4 linked regions of the Arabidopsis thaliana genome follow. The protein of the gene in region 4 interacts with the protein of the main gene of each other region in a pairwise test. Each region holds a gene or a part of one and is shown on either strand. Other genes may lie near its edges. The genes, in order: HHP1, AT2G16030, GRXC1 and HLECRK.

The links.
Region 1: the proteins of HLECRK (region 4) and HHP1 interact in a protein complementation assay, tested with the Arabidopsis thaliana proteins (one large-scale study listed by BioGRID).
Region 2: the proteins of HLECRK (region 4) and AT2G16030 interact in a protein complementation assay, tested with the Arabidopsis thaliana proteins (one large-scale study listed by BioGRID).
Region 3: the proteins of HLECRK (region 4) and GRXC1 interact in a protein complementation assay, tested with the Arabidopsis thaliana proteins (one large-scale study listed by BioGRID).

Annotation. Positions count from the first base shown.
Region 1 is NC_003076.8:6,838,753-6,844,889, forward strand, and holds HHP1 (heptahelical transmembrane protein1), read right to left. Parts: upstream 4,195-6,137; 5' UTR 3,905-4,194; coding exon 3,603-3,904; intron 3,522-3,602; coding exon 3,446-3,521; intron 2,894-3,445; coding exon 2,273-2,893; 3' UTR 2,081-2,272; downstream 1-2,080. Other genes in the region: AT5G20260 (Exostosin family protein), read right to left, coding at 335-486, 574-804. UniProt on the Arabidopsis thaliana protein: May act as a negative regulator of abscisic acid (ABA)-mediated osmotic stress signaling and function in cross-talk between cold and osmotic signaling.
Region 2 is NC_003071.7:6,972,311-6,977,619, forward strand, and holds AT2G16030 (S-adenosyl-L-methionine-dependent methyltransferases superfamily protein), read right to left. Parts: upstream 2,698-5,309; 5' UTR 2,582-2,697; coding exon 1,886-2,581; 3' UTR 1,363-1,885; downstream 1-1,362. Other genes in the region: AT2G16018 (uncharacterized protein), read right to left, coding at 269-310, 807-1,208; AT2G16019 (uncharacterized protein), read left to right, coding at 862-972; AT2G16020 (uncharacterized protein), read left to right, coding at 1,046-1,276; AT2G16040 (hAT dimerization domain-containing protein / transposase-like protein), read left to right, coding at 3,707-4,013, 4,443-5,284.
Region 3 is NC_003076.8:25,283,360-25,289,061, reverse strand, and holds GRXC1 (Thioredoxin superfamily protein), read right to left. Parts: upstream 2,886-5,702; 5' UTR 2,711-2,885; coding exon 2,607-2,710; intron 2,000-2,606; coding exon 1,911-1,999; intron 1,828-1,910; coding exon 1,729-1,827; intron 1,631-1,728; coding exon 1,545-1,630; 3' UTR 1,368-1,544; downstream 1-1,367. Other genes in the region: AT5G63040 (uncharacterized protein), read right to left, coding at 1-28, 475-558; AT5G63020 (Disease resistance protein (CC-NBS-LRR class) family), read left to right, coding at 3,060-5,678. UniProt on the Arabidopsis thaliana protein: Has a glutathione-disulfide oxidoreductase activity in the presence of NADPH and glutathione reductase. Reduces low molecular weight disulfides and proteins.
Region 4 is NC_003074.8:22,049,764-22,056,016, forward strand, and holds HLECRK (lectin-receptor kinase), read left to right. Parts: upstream 1-2,357; 5' UTR 2,358-2,382; coding exon 2,383-4,368; 3' UTR 4,369-4,631; downstream 4,632-6,253. Other genes in the region: IQD13 (IQ-domain 13), read left to right, coding at 1-463, 553-762, 848-964, 1,039-1,716; AT3G59710 (NAD(P)-binding Rossmann-fold superfamily protein), read right to left, coding at 5,457-5,852, 6,249-6,253.

The sequences.
Region 1 (6,137 bases), on a different chromosome or scaffold from region 4:
TTTCGAAAATAATTTATTCATGTAAACAATAAATGTATTTTGCTTAAAAATCATTGTCGAATGTCGGTTACACTTTTGAGGTAAATTTTGAATTTCTCTTCTTTGAAATCCAAATGATCTGGGGAGAAAATTATGGGTAACTTAAATGAAAATTGTCATATCATTAGCATAAAATGTAGTTGTATACTTAATAATTTTCATATTGACTAGTTTTTTTCCCCCAATAAAATCTTAGTATTACATTTATTTCCTAGTATGGAAAGTAACTTTAAATGAAAATTTGAAAGACAAAAAAAAAAGGAGAAACGAAGAAAAAAAGGAAACAGAAACTTACTGATGAAATGCAAAAGCGTTTCTGTAAACGGCTCCTCGAGGAACAAAGGTTTCTTCTTTGTCCGATACAAACTTCTTCAACCTCACGGCTTCACGTATGGCGGATCTTGATTTTGCTAAACCTTCCTCAATTATGTTCCTCTTATTTCCTTTCTTATTACAACAAATTATATATATTCAAAAGTCAAAACAAATCTATAGCATAAATGAACAAAATCACGTAAATTAATAAAAACATACATTTTCAGGAGGACTCGAAATTGTTGAAAGGTTTGATGAGGCGACACTAAACTCCATAGACAGGGACGGTGAAGGAGATGGGGCGAGGGACGTAGCGTCGACGAAAGAAGAGAGAGCGTTCGAGTTTAGGTTTGGAGAAGAGTGATGTTGATAAAAGACGAGAAGAACAAGAAGAAGAAGAAGAGTTGGAACTAGAGAGAGTTTCATATTAACAAAATTTGATTGTTCCATATTTTTTTTCTCTAGTTTCTTGGGCAGTGACACATTTAGGGTATATACTTATGTAGTAGAGGAATATAAGAGTCTATTATAGTAGAGAATCCAAACCAGCTAAAAGTCTACCAAATAAAATCACTAGAAAGGTAAAAAATTAAAGCAGAAATGGACCAAAATAAATCCTATTAGGGAAGGAAACGGAAGACTAATAGAGTAATTGAGAAGCAAATAACATTAATTTTGTATTTATTGCTTTATAAAAATGTTTACCGAATCAGAAGTAAATCTTCATATCGTTCGGGGTTTGGCACCGTCGATCGTTACTAGCTAGCTATCATGGCATGCTTAATTTTAGGGTCAATTTTGGGTTTGGTTGCAAGAAGAAAAACGAAAAACTTTTATACCCATTATCAAACCGGTTCTTCCCGTACTGCTATAACCGGTCTGAGGCAGGCAAATCAAATTTGGGGTGGTTAAGCATAACCGGCATTATAAAGCTTTAGCTGACATGTTTGGTCGTATATTTGTCACTCTTGAAGATAATTTAACAATAACATCAAATTGGGTTAATTAGAAGAACTGTTTCACGTACGCTATGTTTCACACATCAACCTTAAACTAATGGTGATGGTGTTCGATTCTTTGTTTTACTCATTAACCACACATAAAAAAAGTTTCATACATCAAAAGGAAAAAAAAAAAAAGATATATGAAAATATACACCAAGTCTCACGGCAAGACCAAGACATTTGGCTTCCGAAATTCGAAAAGAGTTTGGGTCCGTTCACGCATTATCGATCAAGAGTCTAGTTACAGAGTGAAGCTTGGTCTTTAATTATGTTTATGTCTGATCAATCCTTGTCTTGCATCTAATTAACACCTGTATAACCTAGTAACACATATATTTATATCAAATCAAAAAGAACAAAAAAACTTTGAAGCAATAATAAGAGGACTCGGCTATGAAGAATGAAAAAGGAAGCGGAGACTTTGATGAACATTTGATGGTGCATATATACATATTAATTCTCTTGTGGTTAGGGAATCCTGACACTAAGCTAAGTGCGCATGTAGATAGATGAAAGAACCATCAACCATGCATGAAGTCCATCCTTTGCATCATTGGTTTTTTTTTTTTTTTATAAAACAAATCATTGGTTGTTTCAACCGTCAATTTTTGCTTTTGTGTTTACATCAATTTTTTTTTATGTCTTTTCAATTCTGTTTGCTTTCATGATATAAAGCAAACAAACAATTGAAGTCATCATATTCAAAAACGAAACTATTCAGTGGCAAATATTTGATTTACCATTAACTTCTCATAGAGAAAAAGACTTCTGAAAATCATGCATATTCAACAAACATAACAATTAACACAAGTTGAATTACAATTCAATTTAAAACAAATGGGTTATTACAATTTTGTTCACCACGATACAACAAATTAATAATATTATATTTAAAAGAATTACAAATATATGGTTTAACAACCAACGTGGTCACGCCAGTCCAAGAACAAGAGAGCAGCTGCATAGTGAGACAAAGCACCCAACAAAACGAACACATGGAAGATCTGATGACTATGTCCCACACGATCAAACCATCCCGGTTTAAGCCTTTCTGGCACTCTCCCTACGTAGAATCCTGTTCCAACAAGATAGAACACTGCCATAAGCAACTCGTACACGAGCGTCACGTTCCTTTGCGGGTTTCCCCAATTGACCACTAGCGCGTGGGCAGCTGGGACAATCCCAAACAGCCCCATGGAGGCAAAGAGCAAAGCGCGGAAAGCTCGGTACTTGGGAGCGGAAAGTGATGGGGTGAAAAGTGTGATGATTGTGAAGATTCCCATGGATGTGATGCCTGCGAGGTAGATGAAGTACCACCGAGGAGTGCACTGGAAGATGTAGAAGATTGGTGGGAAGAAGGAAGTGATGATCATGGCGGTGATACCGGCATAGTCTATTCGGAGAAGGAAGACATTAAGCTCTTTTGAGTGGCAACAGAAGAGGTGACAAATGCTGCTTGCGAGTAGGCAGAACATTGAGCCTCCTAAGAAAACGAAGAAGGGCCATCTTGTTACATTCCCTGGACTCTTTGCATCCTACAATCATCAACATTGATACCACCATTAGCTTTACATTTTTATTGACTAGTTTGAGATACTAAAAAAACATATACTAGATATATGATCAAATAACATATTTGAGTTGATTTCTAATCTAGTTAAGAAATACATTTTCTTCAGTTGTTTAGATATGTGATTAAATAATAGATTTGAGCTGATATATAATCCTTAAAAGAATTACATTTTATTGAGTTGTTTAGAATATACTACAGAAAACAAATTATAGTCAATGTAATATTGTCAAAGATTTTATTCATCATTTCGATTCATGTCTATATATCTTTGATATCTTATTCAAAATCATCATAACAAAATCCAGGTATAGCAACGAACAATTCATTAGAAAATTAAGATAAGTTAATCAAAACCAATTAGGTATATATCTAATTACTTGACACATTCACTTGACTAATTTGAAGTTAATATAGTGGTTGCATGTGGATCTCGAGGGAATAAATTGAAATTCGGGCTAAACTTGCGATTATTAAACAAAAACAAAAATAAACGTGTTGATTAAAGGACACTTACCACGGGGAAGAATCCGTCGTGATGAATAATATTGGCGACGGTTAGTGCCACAAAGAAGATAAAACCAATCAAATGTCTGTCCAAAAAAAAAAAACTATTAGAAAAAAAAATCGAAGAAAAAATAATTGAAACTAGAAGTAAAATTTGGTGTACTTACGTCCAAACATTGAGGGACTCATTGTGGAAACTAAATACGCTGAAGAAAGCATCTCTAATGGACCAATCAGCTCTGTAATAATTCAATATGTATTCGTTGTCTTTCATGTACTCCGGTAGCTCACAATACGACATTAATTCACGTCGTTTCATTGTCTTTTGTTGCGTTTTTCTCTTCTTCCTTCTCTTGGTACCACTACTCTCATCTCCACCGTGATCATCTCCAGGCACGATCTTGCTTTTGCAGTTGCCGTTGCCGCATGAAACTGTTTCTGCTTCGTCGTTATGACCATTTTGGTCCATAAGAGCTCTCGAGTATCGATTCTTGAGACAAGAATACTCAATCTTGATCTCAAGAGAAGATGGTGAGAGAGAAGATCTGAGAGGAGAGGAAAATATATAATGAAGAAAGATTATTATTATTATTATAGTTGAAGTAACAAGTATTAAAATGTGAATTTAAGTTTGAGGGGAGAGAGAGAGAGAGAAGAAACAAGGAAGATGTGAAATGTAAGGAGACAGCTGCAACATTTAAAGACGAAACTTTAGTATGCAGGTAGAAGTTGGTGTCGTGTTTTCATCTTTTAGTTGTTAGTTAGGTTATCAATAAATTCTTCTTTTTTGATTATTATTATTTCATTTCCCTTTCTCTTACGTTTGTTTTTATTGTATTTTTTTTTAACAAGAAAAGTGATTCAGTTTTACACTACTTTTTGAGATATGGAAAATCTTTTGAATACGAGAAGAGTAAATTTAGGCGATTTTAAGACCGACCGACTCAAAATTCACTACCGGCTTGTACCTCTTTTACATGATTGATGCCTTGTACCCACCGGATCGTTTGTATTTATAAGAAAGATATAAGATATGTGATGCAAACAAAATAGTACTCTTGATGTAAAAATAAAAAATAAGGACTCATTTAGACTTTTACTATGCTTCAATCAACATTAAATTCTGTGTGAAATTAAGATTGGTGAGGGGTTTACTTTACTTGAAATAGACGAGTAATTTTAGAAAATTTGCATTTTTGAGTTCTTATGTGTAATTCTAAGTAATTTTTTTAACAGAAGAAGTTAGGATAACAACAGAATTTAATGTAGTTATGAGTTATGAAGTGATTGTGGTAAAGAAGTGTCAAAGCTCTTTCCATCAAGTGGATGACAACAAAAATAATGATACTAAAAACAAGCATGCAAACATTTCAAGGATTCCTTTTTTTAAAAGAGTAGACCACAAAAGCCAAAATCATGAAAATTTCTATTTTTTTCTTGTGAAATGTTGCAAAAAACATTAGTGTCATTTTCAATGAGTTACCACTTGAAAAGGACTTGACCTTTAAATGCCTCTAGCAATATAGAACTTCAAGTTAATTAATTAGGCAGATGACTAAACTTTAGAACAAATTTATAATTTATTTGGAAATCAACTAAAAAAGGATGTTAAAAATTAGACGAAAATATCTTCATACAAGGAATTATAAACGTTTTGTTGGCAAAAAAAAAGGGAATTATAAACGTTTGTGACATGCATTCATGTAATACATGTTATTATGCTGTTATTATGAAGGAGTTAGTGAGTAAAGATCTTGACGCCACTACAAGGTTTGTACTTCGGTATGTGTTTCAAAACACGATACATTCTATATGGAGAGAAAGAAATGAGAGGAGATATGGACAGACGCCATCGAGGACGAAGAAGATAATCAGGCTGATAGACAAAAACATAAGGAATGGATTAAGCACGTTGAGGGTAAGATGTGAAGAGAAGTACGCAAGAGGAATCCAAGTGTGGTTTACTTTTAGGCAAGAACAAAATCAAAGATAAATAAGATATACTTTTGATCTATTTTTAAGAAAAGTTTGCATTTCTGTATATAAACAGTTTATTTTTCTTTGAATATAATTTAACACTAAATTCAAAAAAAAAAATATGTTGTTATTATGTAGATAGTAATTAACATCTCGGCGTCCCATAGCCATACCTTTATTTTTTCTCTTACAAAATTCAGTTTTGTTATCTAAAATTAAAGCTGATAAAATGGCCATAGTTGTAGCTTTCTGGTCTTTCAAGATTTGGGTTGGCTTAGGCTTTTTGGGAAAACATTAACCAAAGAGGTCACTCCTGAAACACCCCCAAGGAATCGCAATCATATACGCAAACTCCATATACGTGTGTTTAAGTTTCTTGGGAAAATAGTTTATTACTAATTCATAACTTAAGATTTTGTTAAATATGGTTGAAGAAGAAAATGACTTTATCTTCTCGACATCTTTTGTAATCTTTACTTTTGGATATAACTGCCATGTGTTTGCAATCTATTTAGCCTTAATTATATATTTTGTCGCCTAGGCCTAATTAAAATCAAAAGGAATGGTTTTATTTATATGAATGTTGTTCTGTTAATTAAAATACCGGGAATATCCTCTTTTTCTTTTTATTATTACAATACTTTGCATAAATGAAGTAAAATCCGGTAGGTGTCAAAGAGACAACCATATGAAGAGTTAGGTATTTCCGGCAGCTTATGTACGAC
Region 2 (5,309 bases), on a different chromosome or scaffold from region 4:
GGAAAAGCTAAAGCATCGACAAACATAGAGATCAAACATAAGCGAAAGCTAGCAACAACAATGCTCAAAAAGAGACTTGGGGACAAGGGTGAACCCAAAGGTTCTAGCAAAGCAGCAACTAACCAAGAGCATCCAAAAAAGCAAACACCTTTAGCTTGGAAGACCTTGTCGAAACCACAATAAGGAGGAAACAAAGCCTCCAATGACACTAACGTCAAACAATCGGCAAAGGCTGAATGAGAACAGTCTTGAACAACAATCCTCGCTTCTACTTCAAGCAGATCAGTATTGCACACAATGCTCCCTGTAACTTTATCACTAAACACAAGTGAAGTATTTGAGAGGATAAAAAGCTCCATAAAGGAGAGATGAGGGCTATGAAATCCCCAATGAACCAGAAAAACTGGTAGGTTGTCTGAAATCAAAGCCCTCCGTCTAAGCTGCGAAGAGACAACTTTTAACAAAAACAAATCGAGATAGAATCCGCATACTGCAGTAAAAGATCGCATTAAAGCGATAGAGGTATTACAAGAGAGCACAAAAGTATCCAAAACATTCTGTCTAAGCTGCGATGAGACAACTTTTAACAAAGGCGAATTAAGACATCCACATATTGTGGTAAGTGATCGCATCAAAGCGATAGAGGTGCTACAAGAGAGCACAAAAGTATCCAAGCCAATCGAAACTAGATAAGCTACATATGAATTACACAAACCCAAATTCCACAAAACCAGAGCCACAAACTCTATCAACAACCAAACCCTTCCAATCTTAGAAGAAACATACGGCGAAGAGTAAGAGCAAACCTGAGGGAAATACTGAGGAAGAAAAGTGGTGTCGTCGGCGAGAAGGAAAACATCAATGAAAAAATCAGTGATCGAAGAGGTCGGTGACGGAGATTCAGATATGGCGGAGGAGATATGGAGAATGAGCGAGACCAAATCTGGGAGGGAAGAGGAGCTCAACGACTGAGCATAAGAATCAGCAAAAGTGAAGCAGATCTGAGAATCTGGTGGATCCGGTGGTTCCGGTGGAGTCGGCGGAGATGGAGGCTCTGGTGGTGGTGCACAAGGTGGCCTCAGAAGGAGGAAGGCGACCGAAGACGACGGTAAGCGACGAGAGTGGCTCGCATTCGAGAGAAAAAGGAAAGTCATTTCAAGTGAAAGACTCGCCGGAAAACAATTACGCCACCGGAAAAGTAGATTCATTGGAGAGATCTCACTTTAGTAGTAGCTACAATCAGGAACGCAGGCAGTCAGAGGAGCAACGCCGGTGAAGAGAACTAATCACGAACAAGGCTTGCGGCTACCTTGGTTATCTTGCTTGAGAGAAAATTTTTTTTTTTTTTTTTTTTTTTTTTTAGTAAGAGCCTTTTATTCACCAATAAGAATTTTGTTCTTTCTAAGTATACAAAATGACTAAAGAGTATTTTACTTAACTCACAAATAGTACACAGGAGAGCTCTAACAGATTGAAACGTGAACCTCACCTGGAAAGAAAGTACTTTCTTTCATCACACACTAAAGTCTTCAAAAGCTGTTGAAAGTTCTTTACTTGTTTCAAAAGCGACCAAGGTTCCTAAGAATTGTTTAGCTCAGAGACCAACTTCCAAAAAAAAAGATATTAACCTGTAGAAAGCTTTTGTTCTGGATCTTGAACTCGCAACAAACATCGCAGCTTCCCTCAACAAAACATTGCTTTAGGATCCAGAACAAATATGGTCATGGTCTTTGAACAATGTTACCACATAATCTGTTAAATCTCCTGCTTTTCAAACATGTAAGTGAATTTCAACAGAAACAAATCTAGCTCCACTCTATGAATATTGAAGCAGTTTTCTGAGAATCCGGAAAGGGCCTATAAATCAAAAGAGAAATAAAACACCTCAGGTAGGAGAGTCTTGAACTTTGAATAGTATACTAGTCTTTTTGGATCCTTCTAAGGTTACATTAGCAACATCAACGACCTTGGAGTTATGAAAAAGCCTAGCAATGTCTCTTACATCATCTCCACCACATTCATCAACCGAAACCACACAAAATCCGCCACGTCTCACCGTCCTCTCCATCTCCTCCACAAACTGCCACGGAAACAGAGCTTCAGCTAGATGTGCAGTGAAGGCAAAATCAAAGACACCGTCGAAAAACGGAAGGTTATGAGGATCAGCTCTTTTCACAAGAGGAATCGAATCAACCAATTCAACTGCGGTAACATCAGATAATCCGATCTGAGAAAGAGCCATCAGAGCATGGCCTGCTCCGGCGGAGAGACAGAGAGCTTTGGTGTGATTTTGAATGAATCCGAGATCGCGAAATCGGAGGAAGTAGGTAGAGAAGGAGTATAGACGAGATTTCCAAGCTCCAGAGGACCAGATTCGAGCGTTCTTCTTTGGGAGAGGAAGATGCTGACGAGGCGATGAATCGCATGTAGATCTCGGGAAATGCGTATGAGGTTTCGATGGAGCTTCTGGAGAAATACAAGTTTTTGGTGTCTGGAGAATCATAATTACCATTAATACTGTTCCGATGCTTAAGAACACTATTGATACTCTCTTCAGCATCTTCTCGACGTTTCTCTCCATCGTCGCCGATCAAAACTCCGATCAAAATATCTATGTTTATATAACATCAATAATAAAAACACAATCACCTAACAAACGCCGTTGATTGTTACCAAAACTCTAAATAATCTATTTTTGGAACGAAATTCAAATATTCATATAAGATTAGCGGATCGAATTTCTCTCTATTTCCTCAATTTTCCACAAATCTATGTCGATTTAGTATAATTAATCGAAACATGGTCAACTAACAAACGCTGCGAATTGTTATCAAAACTCGAATCCATCTATTTTTGGAATTAAAATTCAAATATTCCTCAAAAATTAGCAAATCAAATTTCTCTCAGTTCCTCAATTTTTACACAAATCTATGTCTATTTAGCATCAATAATTAAAACACAATCAACTAACAAACACCGCCGATTGTTACCAAAACTCGAATCCATCTATTTTTAAAAACAAAATTCAAATATTCCTCAAAAATTAGCGGATCGAATTTCTCTCTAATTCCTCATTTTGGCACAAATCTATGTATATTTAGCATCAATAATCGAAACACATTCAACTAACAAACGCTGCAGATCTAATCCATCTATTTTTAGAATCGAAATTCAAATCTTCCTCAAAAATTAGCGGATCAAATTTCTCTCTTGTTCCTCAATTTTCGCACAAATCTATGTCTATATAGCATCAATAATCAAAATACAATCAGCTAACAAATGCGCTGCTTTGTCACCAAAACTCGAATTCACTTATTTTTAGAATCAAAATTCAAATATTCCTCAAAAATCAGCGGATCGAATTTCTCTCTAATTATTCGATCAAGAAACAAATCCTACATTGTTAGCAAGTAGTGGGTATAATGACTGGAAAAATGCTGCGCAAAGGCTGAAAAGACATGAAACAACTCATCGTCATATTATTTCCATGACTCATTGGATGGAGCTAGAAGTGAGATTACAAAAGAGTAAAACAATTGATAACCATATGGAATAGGCAATTAAGAAGGAGAAAAAACATTGGAGAGATGTATTGGTGAGAATAATTGCAGTGGTAAAGACTCTAGCTAAACAAAATTTAGCATTTTGTGGAACTAAAGAGAATGTTGATGATCCAAATAGTGGAAATATTTTGGCATTTATTAGAATGATTGGAGGTTTTAATTCGGATATGAAGGAACACATTCGGCGGGCTAATAAAGGTGAAATTCATTGCCATTTTCCCAGTCATAAGAGTCAGAATGAATTGACAGAATTACTTGCTAATGATACCAAGATGATGATCTTAAAGAAGATTAAAGATGCGAAGTATTTTTCAGTCATTCTTGATTCCATTCCGGATGTTAGTCGTAAAGAACAAATGACCTTCTTAATTCGATGTGTGGATGTTTCAACGTGTTCACCTAAGATTGAGGAGTTCTTCTTGACGTTTCTACACATCAAAGATAAGAGGGGTGAGGGGCTTTTTAAGACTCTTCAAGATGCATTGATTGATCTTAAGTTGAATATTGATGATGTAAGATGACAAGCATACGACAACTGACAAAATATGAAGAGAAAACATAAAGGAGTTCAGAAAAGGTTGCTTGATATAAATCCAAGAGCATTTTACACTCCATGTGGATGCCATGGTCTTAACCTTGCACTTTGTGATATGGCTTCATCATCCAAGAAAGCTGTTTCTTTTTTTGGAATTGTTCAGCGAATACATTGTCTGTTTGAAGCTTCAACCAACAATTGGGAAGTGTTTAGAGAAACAGTGAATGGTATTACACTTAAACCGTTGTCTCAAACGCGTTGGGAAAGCCGCATTGATAGTCTTAAACCAATAAGATATTAAGCTTCAAAGATACAGATACAAGATGCACTTTTTTATTTGGCAGAATACACTGATAATCCAGGACACCGGAGTGATGTTGAGTCTCTTACAGAGAGTGAAACACATGGAATTGGAGGGTTTGAATTTTTATTTGGAATGATAATTTGGTACGATTTGCTAGCTGCTGTGAATATAGTAAGCAAATCCTTACAGTTTGAGGATATGGATCTTGAGGTTGCTATTTCTCAGTTAGGAGGGCTTGTTACTTATTTGAAAAACTACAAAGAAACAGGTTTCGAGAAAGCCAAAGTTGAATCTACACAAATTGCCATTGAGATGAAGATTGCGCCGGTATTTCCAAAAAAGTCGGTGAAAAAAAAAAAGCAATTTGTTGAGGATGTTGAGAAGATTGATGAAAGTAAGATTGCAGAGGAGAGTTTTAGAATTGATTACTTCATCAATATAATGGATCAAGCTATAATGTGTATTGAGATAAGATTCGAGCAATTCCAAGTATATGAACAAATATTTGGATTTTTGTTTGGTGTAAAGAGATTGAAGGTAGCAGAAGATGATGAGTTAAGGACATCGTGTATGAAGCTTGAAGCTTCTTTGAAGCATGATGTGCATTCAGATGTTGATGGAGAAGATCTGTTTATGGAGCTGAAACTTTTAAAAGATGTGTTGCCAAAAGAGATTACAAAGCCGGTCGAAGTGTTGAAATTTTTGAAAATAATGGATAGCTGTTATCCAAACACATGGATCGCTTATCGTATACTACTCACCATTCCGGTTTCAGTTGCTTTGGCGGAGAGAACTTTTTCAAAATTAAAGCTCATAAAAAAATATCTACGTTCGACTATGTCTCAAGAGCGATTGAATGGTTTGGCGCTGATATCTGTATAACAAGAACTGGTTGAGAAGCTCGATT
Region 3 (5,702 bases), on a different chromosome or scaffold from region 4:
GAGCAGGCTGAACCCTCGGTGAACGAAACTGAAGTTTGGAGACGACAAATATCAGCAAATATCCATAAACATGGGCTTCCCAAGACCAAGAAACAGCAGGTAATAACCTCATCAACAACAACAAATGAAACCAACACTTGATTTCATTTTATCATAACCTAATAAAAAGCATTATTGATCAGATGAAGTTCCAGTTTTTTCTAGGCATCATCTATGGAGAACAAGACTGCAATGTCCCAATCAAATCTAAGTAAGAATTGCAAAAACTATATCTTAAAGTCCACTTCAGACACATTGATTTTAGTATACTCAAATGTGTCAACTAAATTTTCCTACTAGATCAAATGAATATTTGTTCAATGTCTCAAACCACATTGGGAGAAACATCTGTCGAGACAATACATTGGGAGCATGAAACACAGATGCAGCATAGAAGAAACTCTAAAGGCTGACTACAAATTAAGAAATTGTCACCTGAAAGGAACTCCGAGGTTGAAACGGCGAGAAAATGGATGGAACCAAAGAAGAAGCCGAGGAGGACACAAGTTTAGCAGCCATGGCCGGTGAAGGCGGCAATTCTCTTAAACCCTAACGGAGCAACACGGGTTTAATCGGATTAACCCATGAATGGTGTACAGATACAAAAGATTTCCTCAGAGTCCGCAAAAGTAGAACTTTTTCCCAGAGAAACTGATACTGGAGAATAAATTCGAAGACTTTTGGTGAAATTTGAGGATTTGGGCTAATTTGTGAGAGCCACGGCTTCGTTACTTGCTTAGGTTAGTAGTTATTGATTTGATAAATCTTTAAAACAAATCTCCATCTTACACGGGCCTGTCTAGGTTTTGCTCCGCTTATTCCAAAACTTTGTCTTTTCTTCTACAACGCTTCGCTTGAACACACTCTCTGGTCAAATTCAGTTTCCTCAGTTTCTCTTCTTTAACCGGCTCTAGATAATATTTACTAATTGACCCCACAAGTTCTCTTAAACTACGATTTTGCACTATACTTTATAATAAATCTAGATTAACCAAATTGACATTATTCATTGCCATTGGACATTGGTTCTCCGAATTTGGATTACACAAATCAGTGAAAAATGTACTTGTGCTGTTCGAATCCGAATTTGGATTACACAAATCAGTGAAAATGCACTTCTGCTGTTCGAATATTCATTTCTCTTTCAATCGTAACTTTCCGTTGATCGATTTGGCTAATATTAGTTTTTCAGCCTTTAAGGCACCTACACGGCCGGTTACTAGATAAGTTTGGTTCAACCAAAAGCCTTAATCCACCTACTTGACCGGCCTGCTACAAAGTCAACTTGGGATGCAACCAGTAATCTTCAGTAATTTAGAGCAAGAAACTAGAGCAGATTTCTCAAGTTTTATTCCATTAACCGAAACACCAACATGAAAAGTATACACTTAGATATTCTGTATTAAACAACGGGAATGATCTTTCTTTATTGAGTATGTGACGATACCTCTTTTTTCATGATCTAAACACAACACACACTCTTCACACACTAGTTTCGAGTTTCATCAAAGTTGAGAAGAGTTATCTGCAATAGCCCCAGCTTCAGTAAGTAGAGGCACAAGCTTGCCTTGCTTGTTGGTCTCCATCACTCCTGCAAAATATAGAAGCAACACGAAAAACGCAGTTAGTTTTTCCGGCAACCCGAATTTCCATTATTGTGCAGAGAATTTGTGTAGGTTTTTCACTTACTATCGCATCCACCGATGTGGTTTCCTTTGATGAAGACGTTTGGAACTGTGGTCTGTCCAGTCCACTCTGATAAAGCTGATTGGATCTCACCTCCATCACCTGAAGTAAACATAGCATCGAGATAATTCAGGTTCATTGAGATATATTAATATACAGGTATTGACAGGGATTTGGTTTCATACTCATTTCATCGAGCTCAAGTACTTTAAAAGTTGCTCCTAGCTGCGTCAGTAACTGCTTCACCCTCTGGCAATAACCACAGTATGTCTTGCTGCGAAAGAGAAAATATGGATCAGAGCTAAGACATTACATTTGAAAAGTAACCTTTAGACCATCTCAAAAAGTGGAAAGAAATACGTTCCTTTTAAGACTAAGCAAAATCAAACTCAAGACTCTAAGCAACAACAAATTAAGCTTCATTTCAAAACTCCGAAAGGCATCCCCAAATCAGTCATAGGAGCTTGCACGGATCAATCTTCAAAAACTCTAGCTTCTTCAAAGATTTCTAGACTAGTCAGAATCAAATTTGAGAACTGGATCTATCAGTATATATTACATGATCACATCCCTAATCGTCTAGGGAACCCACAAATAATCTCTGAATTGGATGGAGAATCACTAATATAAGATGATGTTCGATCTTTCATTCACGACCTAATTTCACAGATGGAAACAACAAAACAAGCAGACAATGATCCATTGGTGCCTCTGCGTCAAATAGAAGCAGACTCTACCCCCTGATGGTAAAGACTCAAACTTTTTGACTAATTCAAAACCCCTCAAGGCAACAACATCCAATTTTCTCAACAAATTCATAATCACGAACGAAAAGAGTAATACCCAGATGAAAAAGATGGGAGATTTCAACGAGAACAAACCTGAAGACAACAACGGGATAAGCAGAGACGATCTCTTTAGCCTTGTTCACCACCACCTCCATCTCTTCCTTGCTCATTCGGTTTCCACTGAACATTGAACCCATTTCTTCTTCTCTTAACCAAAGACGACCACGACACAACTCCTACAGATGTCCTCTGCTCGAGTTTTGTGCCAATCTTGCTGGCAAATGAAGTTTTTATCTCTTTCAATCAAACCTCAGTCAATATTTATTAAAGAGTTATTTGCGTTGAAAAAAAGTTATCTTTCTGAAATGATACTCTTTTAGTCTTTTTTCGTAGAAATTTCTCTTTTCAGAATATTGTTTAAAGTTTACAATAGCGACGACTTTAGAGTTTGGATTATTGTCAATTTTCACAACTCAGCAGCTCTTATCCTTTTTCTTCTTCTAGTTCTCTGCCACAAGTTTACTTCTTCTTTTGTGTAAACGCAGGATGGGAGGTTGTGTCTCTGTATCAATATCATGTGATCAGTTGACGAAGAATGTTTGTAGTTGCTTAAACAGGAATGGAGATTACATTCATGGCTTAGAGGAGAATCTGACAGCTCTGCAGAGAGCTCTTGAGCAGATTGAGCAAAGACGAGAAGATTTGTTGAGAAAGATTTTGTCTGAAGAAAGACGAGGTTTACAACGACTTTCTGTTGTGCAAGGATGGGTTTCAAAAGTTGAAGCAATAGTACCTCGAGTTAACGAACTCGTCAGAATGAGATCTGTTCAAGTCCAAAGGTTGTGTCTTTGTGGGTTTTGTTCCAAGAATCTTGTCTCAAGCTACCGTTATGGGAAGAGAGTAATGAAGATGATAGAGGAAGTTGAGGTTCTTCGATATCAGGGAGATTTCGCTGTGGTGGCTGAGAGAGTTGATGCAGCAAGAGTGGAAGAGAGGCCTACTAGACCTATGGTTGCTATGGATCCAATGCTTGAGAGTGCGTGGAACCGTCTAATGGAAGATGAGATTGGGATTCTTGGTCTTCATGGTATGGGTGGAGTAGGTAAAACTACACTTCTCAGTCATATCAACAATAGATTCTCTAGAGTTGGGGGCGAGTTTGATATTGTGATTTGGATTGTGGTCTCCAAAGAGTTACAGATCCAGAGGATCCAAGATGAGATATGGGAGAAGTTACGGTCTGATAACGAGAAGTGGAAACAGAAAACAGAGGACATAAAAGCATCTAACATTTACAATGTGTTAAAGCACAAAAGGTTTGTCTTGTTATTGGATGACATATGGAGTAAAGTGGATTTAACAGAGGTGGGAGTTCCGTTTCCGAGTAGAGAAAACGGATGCAAAATAGTATTCACCACTCGGTTGAAAGAAATCTGCGGGCGGATGGGAGTTGATAGCGATATGGAAGTCCGGTGTTTAGCCCCGGATGATGCGTGGGATTTGTTTACTAAGAAAGTAGGAGAGATCACATTAGGGAGCCACCCTGAGATTCCCACAGTCGCAAGAACAGTTGCTAAGAAATGTCGCGGCCTACCATTGGCCCTTAACGTCATTGGTGAAACAATGGCATATAAAAGGACAGTGCAAGAATGGCGTTCAGCAATCGACGTTTTGACTTCATCTGCAGCTGAGTTTTCAGGTATGGAAGATGAGATTCTACCTATTCTAAAGTACAGCTATGATAATTTAAAAAGTGAACAGCTCAAATTGTGCTTCCAGTACTGTGCTTTGTTTCCAGAAGATCATAACATTGAGAAAAATGATTTGGTAGATTACTGGATAGGTGAGGGATTCATAGATAGAAACAAAGGTAAAGCTGAGAACCAAGGTTATGAAATTATCGGTATTCTAGTTCGTTCATGCTTATTGATGGAGGAGAATCAAGAAACGGTGAAGATGCATGATGTGGTCCGAGAAATGGCATTGTGGATAGCATCTGATTTTGGAAAGCAAAAAGAAAACTTTATAGTGCAAGCGGGCTTACAGTCGAGGAACATACCTGAGATCGAGAAGTGGAAAGTTGCGAGAAGGGTGTCATTGATGTTTAACAACATTGAAAGTATACGTGATGCTCCTGAATCTCCCCAACTTATAACTTTGCTCCTCCGAAAGAACTTCTTGGGGCATATCTCAAGCAGCTTCTTTCGGTTGATGCCAATGCTAGTTGTTCTTGATCTATCAATGAACAGGGATCTCAGACATTTGCCAAATGAAATATCAGAATGTGTCTCATTGCAGTATCTGAGCTTATCACGTACAAGGATAAGGATTTGGCCTGCTGGTTTAGTAGAGTTGAGGAAACTTTTATACCTGAATTTGGAGTACACAAGGATGGTAGAGAGTATCTGTGGCATATCAGGTTTAACAAGTTTGAAAGTGTTGAGATTATTTGTTTCCGGTTTCCCTGAAGATCCCTGTGTTTTGAACGAGTTGCAGCTTTTGGAAAACTTGCAAACTTTAACCATAACTCTTGGTCTTGCTTCTATTTTGGAACAATTCCTTAGCAACCAGAGGTTGGCAAGCTGTACACGAGCTCTGCGCATCGAGAATCTTAATCCGCAATCATCTGTAATCTCATTTGTTGCTACTATGGACAGTCTTCAAGAGCTTCATTTTGCAGACTCTGACATTTGGGAGATCAAGGTAAAGAGGAATGAGACGGTTTTGCCTCTGCACATCCCAACCACTACCACATTCTTCCCAAACCTCTCGCAAGTGTCTTTAGAATTCTGCACAAGATTGCGGGATTTGACGTGGCTGATCTTTGCTCCAAATCTTACGGTTCTACGAGTAATTTCAGCGAGTGACCTGAAAGAAGTAATAAACAAAGAGAAAGCTGAGCAGCAAAACCTTATTCCCTTCCAAGAACTAAAAGAGTTGCGGCTAGAAAATGTTCAGATGCTAAAACACATCCACCGGGGTCCCCTGCCATTTCCCTGTTTACAGAAAATTTTGGTTAATGGATGCTCAGAGCTGAGAAAACTTCCACTCAATTTCACGAGTGTCCCAAGAGGTGATCTTGTCATAGAGGCACATAAAAAATGGATAGAAATCCTTGAATGGGAAGATGAAGCCACCAAAGCCCGTTTCTTGCCTACACTCAAGGTTCTTTCTCTCGCATTTATCTGC
Region 4 (6,253 bases):
AGAACCAGAGATAAAGAGTGAAAACAAAGAAAAGAAGAAGAAAGGTTTTGGAAAGAAACTAAGGAATGGAGAAACCAATTCATTTCTTCCCATTTTTAGACAGCCTAGTAGTATCGAAAAGATCTTGTCTGAAGCCGAACGAGAGCATAACCTTGTCTTTAGGCCACCAACTCCCACTGATCGAGCAAATTCATCATCAACCTCTGTTGCATCTCCTCTTGTTAGGCCTGCTTCTCCTAAAGTGCCTTCTCAAAGATATGTCTCTTCTCCAAAACCCATTTCCCCAAGAGTTGCTTACCCTCAAGTCCATTATCCGAAGCCCCCTTCTCCAAAGCCGCCTTCTCCAAGAGCGGTTTCGCCTAGGATTGTGCAGCGACGTGAGTTTGTGCATAGACCAGAGCCAAGTCTATTGGTCAAAAATGCTTATGCAATTAAGATTCAAGCAGCTTTTAGAGGTTACATGGTAATAATGTAAAACATTCTTGATTCTGTTTTGTCACTATTAATCAAGCAGTAAAATTCATAATTTAGGAGATGGAAATTTGTTTGCAGGCAAGGAGGAGTTTCAGAGCTTTGAAAGGTCTAGTCAGGCTTCAAGGAGTGGTAAGAGGACACAGCGTGAAGCGTCAAACGATGAATGCTATGAAGTATATGCAGCTTTTAGTCCGAGTCCAAACACAAGTCCAGTCACGTCGCATCCAAATGCTCGAAAACCGAGCTAGGAACGATAAAGATGACACGAAATTAGTCTCTAGTCGTATGGTAAGTGCTCTCATAAAACTTAGTGAGAAAAGAAGATCTCTCTCAGTTATTCATTTTGACATTAATTATTGTTACTTTCCTGCAGTCTGACGATTGGGACGATAGCGTGCTGACAAAAGAAGAAAAAGATGTGAGGCTTCATAGGAAGATTGATGCAATGATCAAAAGAGAACGGTCCATGGCCTATGCTTATTCTCACCAGGTATGCAATCATGACTCATCTATTCTTCTTCTTACTCACCATACCAATGTTATATATGCTTGTTTCCTATGCAGTTATGGAAAAACAGTCCAAAGTCTGCTCAGGACATTAGAACAAGTGGGTTCCCACTTTGGTGGAACTGGGTGGACCGGCAGAAGAATCAAAACCAACCGTTCAGGCTAACACCAACACGACCGAGCCTGAGCCCTCAGCCTCAATCTAGCAACCAAAACCATTTCAGGCTCAACAACAGTTTCGACACGTCAACACCCAATTCATCAAAATCCACATTCGTTACTCCATCTAGACCCATTCATACTCCGCAACCATACAGTAGCAGCGTCTCAAGATACTCACGAGGAGGAGGACGAGCTACACAAGATTCTCCTTTTAAAGATGATGATAGCCTCACAAGCTGTCCTCCATTCTCAGCTCCAAGCTACATGGCTCCAACAGTCTCAGCTAAAGCAAAACTAAGAGCAAACAGCAATCCAAAGGAGAGAATGGACCGTACACCGGTCAGCACAAACGAGAAGAGACGAAGTTCGTTCCCTCTTGGTTCGTTCAAATGGAACAAAGGGTCATTGTTCATGAGCAACAACAGTAACAACAAGGGTCCAGGTTCTTCTTCTTCTGGTGCTGTGGTGCTTGAGAAGCACAAAACCCTCAAATCCGTTGGAAATTTGAGTATTGATTCTACTGTTTCGATGCCTGCAACAATTGGGAGGAGGGCTTTTAACAGATTTGCGTGATTTGTTTTTCTTCTTTTTTTCTGTGAAAAAATCTGACCTTTTTTTCCCAGTTGATTCTTCATTGATTTGTTTATCTTACATCAATTTTATGAGTGCTGATGATTTTGAGTGTTGTTTGTGTTCTTGATTACGAATTTTACAGATGTAACATAATAAGAAAAAGTAAACAACAAAAACAGAGGATTTGGATTGTACAGTATGATGTTCTGTTTTTCTGCTTGTAAATCCCTTATCTGTCTTTTGGCCCAAGTAACAAACTTTAACCTTTTCTTTTGGGCCAGACTTCAACTATAATACGTTTTGTAGGCTATATTTTTTCTTTTAACTAGATTCGAATTGGATGGCTTGGGTATGCGGTATCAGTGATTACTTAGCTAAATTCAAATCATCAAGAAATGTTCACATGATTTCCTGCAACATGTCAAAAGTCAGATCAACTTAGTTTGATAAGTTATGTTCCACGAAATTATGTGAAAATTGATTTGTTTTCTTCTTTAGTTTGGTGCTTTCACACTGTTAATCCACAAAGCCTTGTTGTAAATCTTGACCAATGGCCTAAAAGTCAAACCTTTGACTTTTCAGTGTTTCTTCTCAACACTCAAGAGATGGATGATAATATTCACAGATGATCAAAATCTTTCACACAAACCTAAAAAACACCCACCAATGTCTCGTGAACTTATTATTCTCTGCCAACCAATTCTTGTTCTGTTCCTTACTCTGTTTTACAATTCTCATGGCTACTTCGTCTCACAAGGATCTGTAGGAATCGGCTTCAACGGTTACTTCACTTTAACCAACACCACAAAACACACATTCGGTCAAGCTTTCGAAAACGAGCACGTTGAAATCAAGAACTCATCGACAGGTGTCATCTCATCTTTCTCAGTCAACTTCTTCTTTGCGATCGTCCCTGAACATAACCAGCAAGGCTCACACGGTATGACTTTCGTCATCTCTCCCACAAGAGGCCTTCCCGGAGCTTCCTCCGATCAATACCTCGGAATCTTTAACAAAACAAACAACGGTAAAGCCTCGAATAACGTTATAGCTATCGAGTTAGATATTCATAAAGACGAAGAGTTTGGAGATATTGATGATAATCATGTTGGGATTAATATTAACGGTTTGAGATCTGTTGCCTCTGCTTCTGCTGGTTACTATGATGATAAAGATGGAAGCTTTAAAAAACTTTCTTTGATCAGCAGAGAGGTAATGAGGCTTTCCATCGTTTATAGTCAACCTGATCAACAGCTCAATGTTACTTTATTCCCTGCTGAGATCCCTGTTCCGCCACTAAAACCGCTCTTGTCTTTGAACCGAGATCTCTCGCCGTATTTGCTTGAGAAAATGTATCTTGGATTCACTGCATCGACGGGGTCAGTTGGAGCAATTCATTACTTGATGGGTTGGTTAGTTAATGGTGTAATCGAGTATCCGAGATTGGAGCTTAGTATACCAGTCCTTCCTCCATATCCAAAGAAAACATCTAATAGAACGAAAACTGTTTTAGCCGTCTGCTTAACGGTATCTGTGTTTGCTGCGTTTGTCGCTTCGTGGATCGGTTTCGTCTTCTATTTGAGGCATAAGAAGGTTAAAGAGGTTCTTGAAGAATGGGAGATTCAATATGGACCTCATAGGTTTGCTTATAAGGAGCTTTTCAATGCCACAAAGGGTTTCAAGGAGAAACAACTTCTTGGTAAAGGAGGCTTTGGTCAAGTCTATAAAGGAACACTTCCGGGTTCTGATGCAGAGATCGCTGTGAAGCGGACTTCTCATGATTCAAGACAAGGGATGAGCGAGTTTCTAGCCGAGATATCGACCATTGGTCGTCTCAGACATCCAAATTTAGTCAGGCTTTTAGGATACTGTAGGCATAAAGAGAATCTCTACTTGGTGTATGACTATATGCCTAATGGAAGCCTTGACAAGTATCTAAACCGTAGCGAGAATCAAGAACGGCTTACTTGGGAACAACGTTTCAGGATCATCAAAGATGTTGCAACTGCTCTACTACACCTGCATCAAGAATGGGTACAAGTCATCATTCATCGAGATATCAAACCAGCTAATGTTTTAATCGACAATGAAATGAATGCGAGGCTCGGGGATTTCGGACTGGCGAAACTGTATGATCAGGGATTCGATCCTGAAACATCTAAAGTAGCGGGAACATTCGGATATATCGCACCAGAGTTTCTAAGAACAGGAAGAGCAACCACAAGCACTGATGTTTACGCCTTTGGGTTGGTAATGCTTGAAGTAGTGTGTGGTAGAAGGATAATTGAGAGACGTGCAGCAGAAAATGAAGAATATCTTGTGGATTGGATCTTAGAGCTTTGGGAAAATGGGAAAATTTTCGATGCAGCAGAGGAAAGTATACGTCAAGAACAAAACAGGGGACAAGTTGAGCTTGTTTTGAAGCTAGGTGTGTTGTGTTCGCATCAAGCTGCATCGATAAGACCGGCTATGAGTGTGGTAATGAGGATTTTGAATGGAGTTTCACAGCTACCAGATAATCTTCTTGATGTTGTAAGGGCTGAGAAATTTAGAGAATGGCCTGAGACATCAATGGAATTACTACTACTTGATGTGAATACATCGAGTTCATTGGAGTTAACCGACTCTTCTTTTGTCTCCCACGGCCGCTGAAATTTTAAGTTTACCACTGATTCTTTGTTTGCTATGAAGATGTATCACAACTGAGATTATTACACATTGTAATACACAGCCGAATGTTTTTTTTCCTGGTATGTACAAGAATAAGACCACACCGCCTCCTCCAAACATTTTTTTAATCCTTTTGTATTTGATAACAACTCGATTATTAATCTTGAAAATCAATTCTTTTTCTTAGAGACCATTGTCCGGTAAATCCTATGAAATTGAATGGTTAAGAAATCTTATAATACTATACTGTTTCCTCTTTGATACGCCAATTCGTTAGGAGTATCTGCAGAAATTATCCAAATAGAAGAACGTGATCAAACAAAGCTCCGATTATGTTTCTATGGTTCATGAATTCAAAGAACCCTAAACAGATGTGATATAGATATTTAATCTACTATTTCAAAACCTTTTTCGAATCCAAGTTGCTGTCAAAAGTCCAATCTACTGCCTATACTTTTAACGTTGCCTGTCCATACTTATCACCAAAGTTGCAAAATTCAAACCTATAAAATAAACCTAAAGAGATCTTTGAAACCTATGAAGACGATGAAAACAATCGGAAAACTAAGAACATTAAAGATGTGGATTTGAAAAAGAATGTAGCGACTTGTTCGAGGCCAACAATCAAGATTAGAAAACTTGATAGGCACGGAGAATCGCTATTTGTTGTTGCCAACCTTCAAGGCAACTTACGCCATTTTTATTTTGACGTCATTGCTCTGCAAATTGGCTTTTATTTAAAAATATAATTGAAATAAATTACTTAGATACACGATAAAAAAAACACTACAAAGCCATGAAAGACCTCCTAAAGAAAAGAAACTACGACTTTGAATCGGACTTGAAGATGATTGATAGTGTCCAAGCCTTTACTTATTTATATAGGAGAAGCAGAAGCGGCTGCAGAGGAAGAAGAAGAAACCCTAATTTCATTGTTTTTATCAAAGCCACGAAATCGAAATTAATGGGCCAAAAAGCCTACTTTTGATTCAAAATGGGCCCAGATCCACAAAGTAGACTAACGATGATGTAATAAAATATGCGTGCAGGTGAAGAAAGCTATAATAGAGTCACAACTTGGAAATAAGTTTTTTAGACTCTACGCATATATAGAACTTTCCGGTAGCCAGCTTCTCCGGAGGAAGCAACACCAACTTGGCTACAATGGCAGCAGCCTCATCCGCCGTGTGAGTCCCCTGACCACCGGTCATAGACGTACGAGTGAAACCAGGGCATAAACAATTCACACTCAGTTTTTTGCCGTCGTAACGTCGAGCCAAAACCCTAGAGTAAGCGTTTAAGGCCAACTTTGAGATGGCGTAGTCCGGCCAGTTCTCCGGCCATCCTTGCTTCTCCCAAGTCCCGCTCTTCACGTCCTGCAGAAATTGAGTCAATGTCGCATCGATTTGTTCATTGGTAAGGTCTTCACTTTCTAGGATTCGTCTTATACTAGGGCTTCTCAGTTTCTGTATGCCAAGAAAACAAATCCAAATGAGTCAATTATATATATGAAGTTAGTGAGTATTATTGATTTTGTATTCAGTATAACAGATAAATATATGAAGATCTAATAACTGGAACAAATTTTACTAACATTTTATATATTTATATCTTTGAATATATATATATATATATATATATATATATATAAATGCTTTGACAACAAATAAAGAAGATAGATATAAAAATGCTTATACAACTAAGATATAATGTTGTAAAATCATTATATCGTTTTGATATTATTGGATTTCCGCAATATTTGAATATGCAAAGATAATGTTTTTAAATTAAATTGTGTGGATGGAATAAATGTGTGTTTTGTTTTCTCGTTTGCCGACAGTAGGAGAAAGAGATTAGCGTACATTTA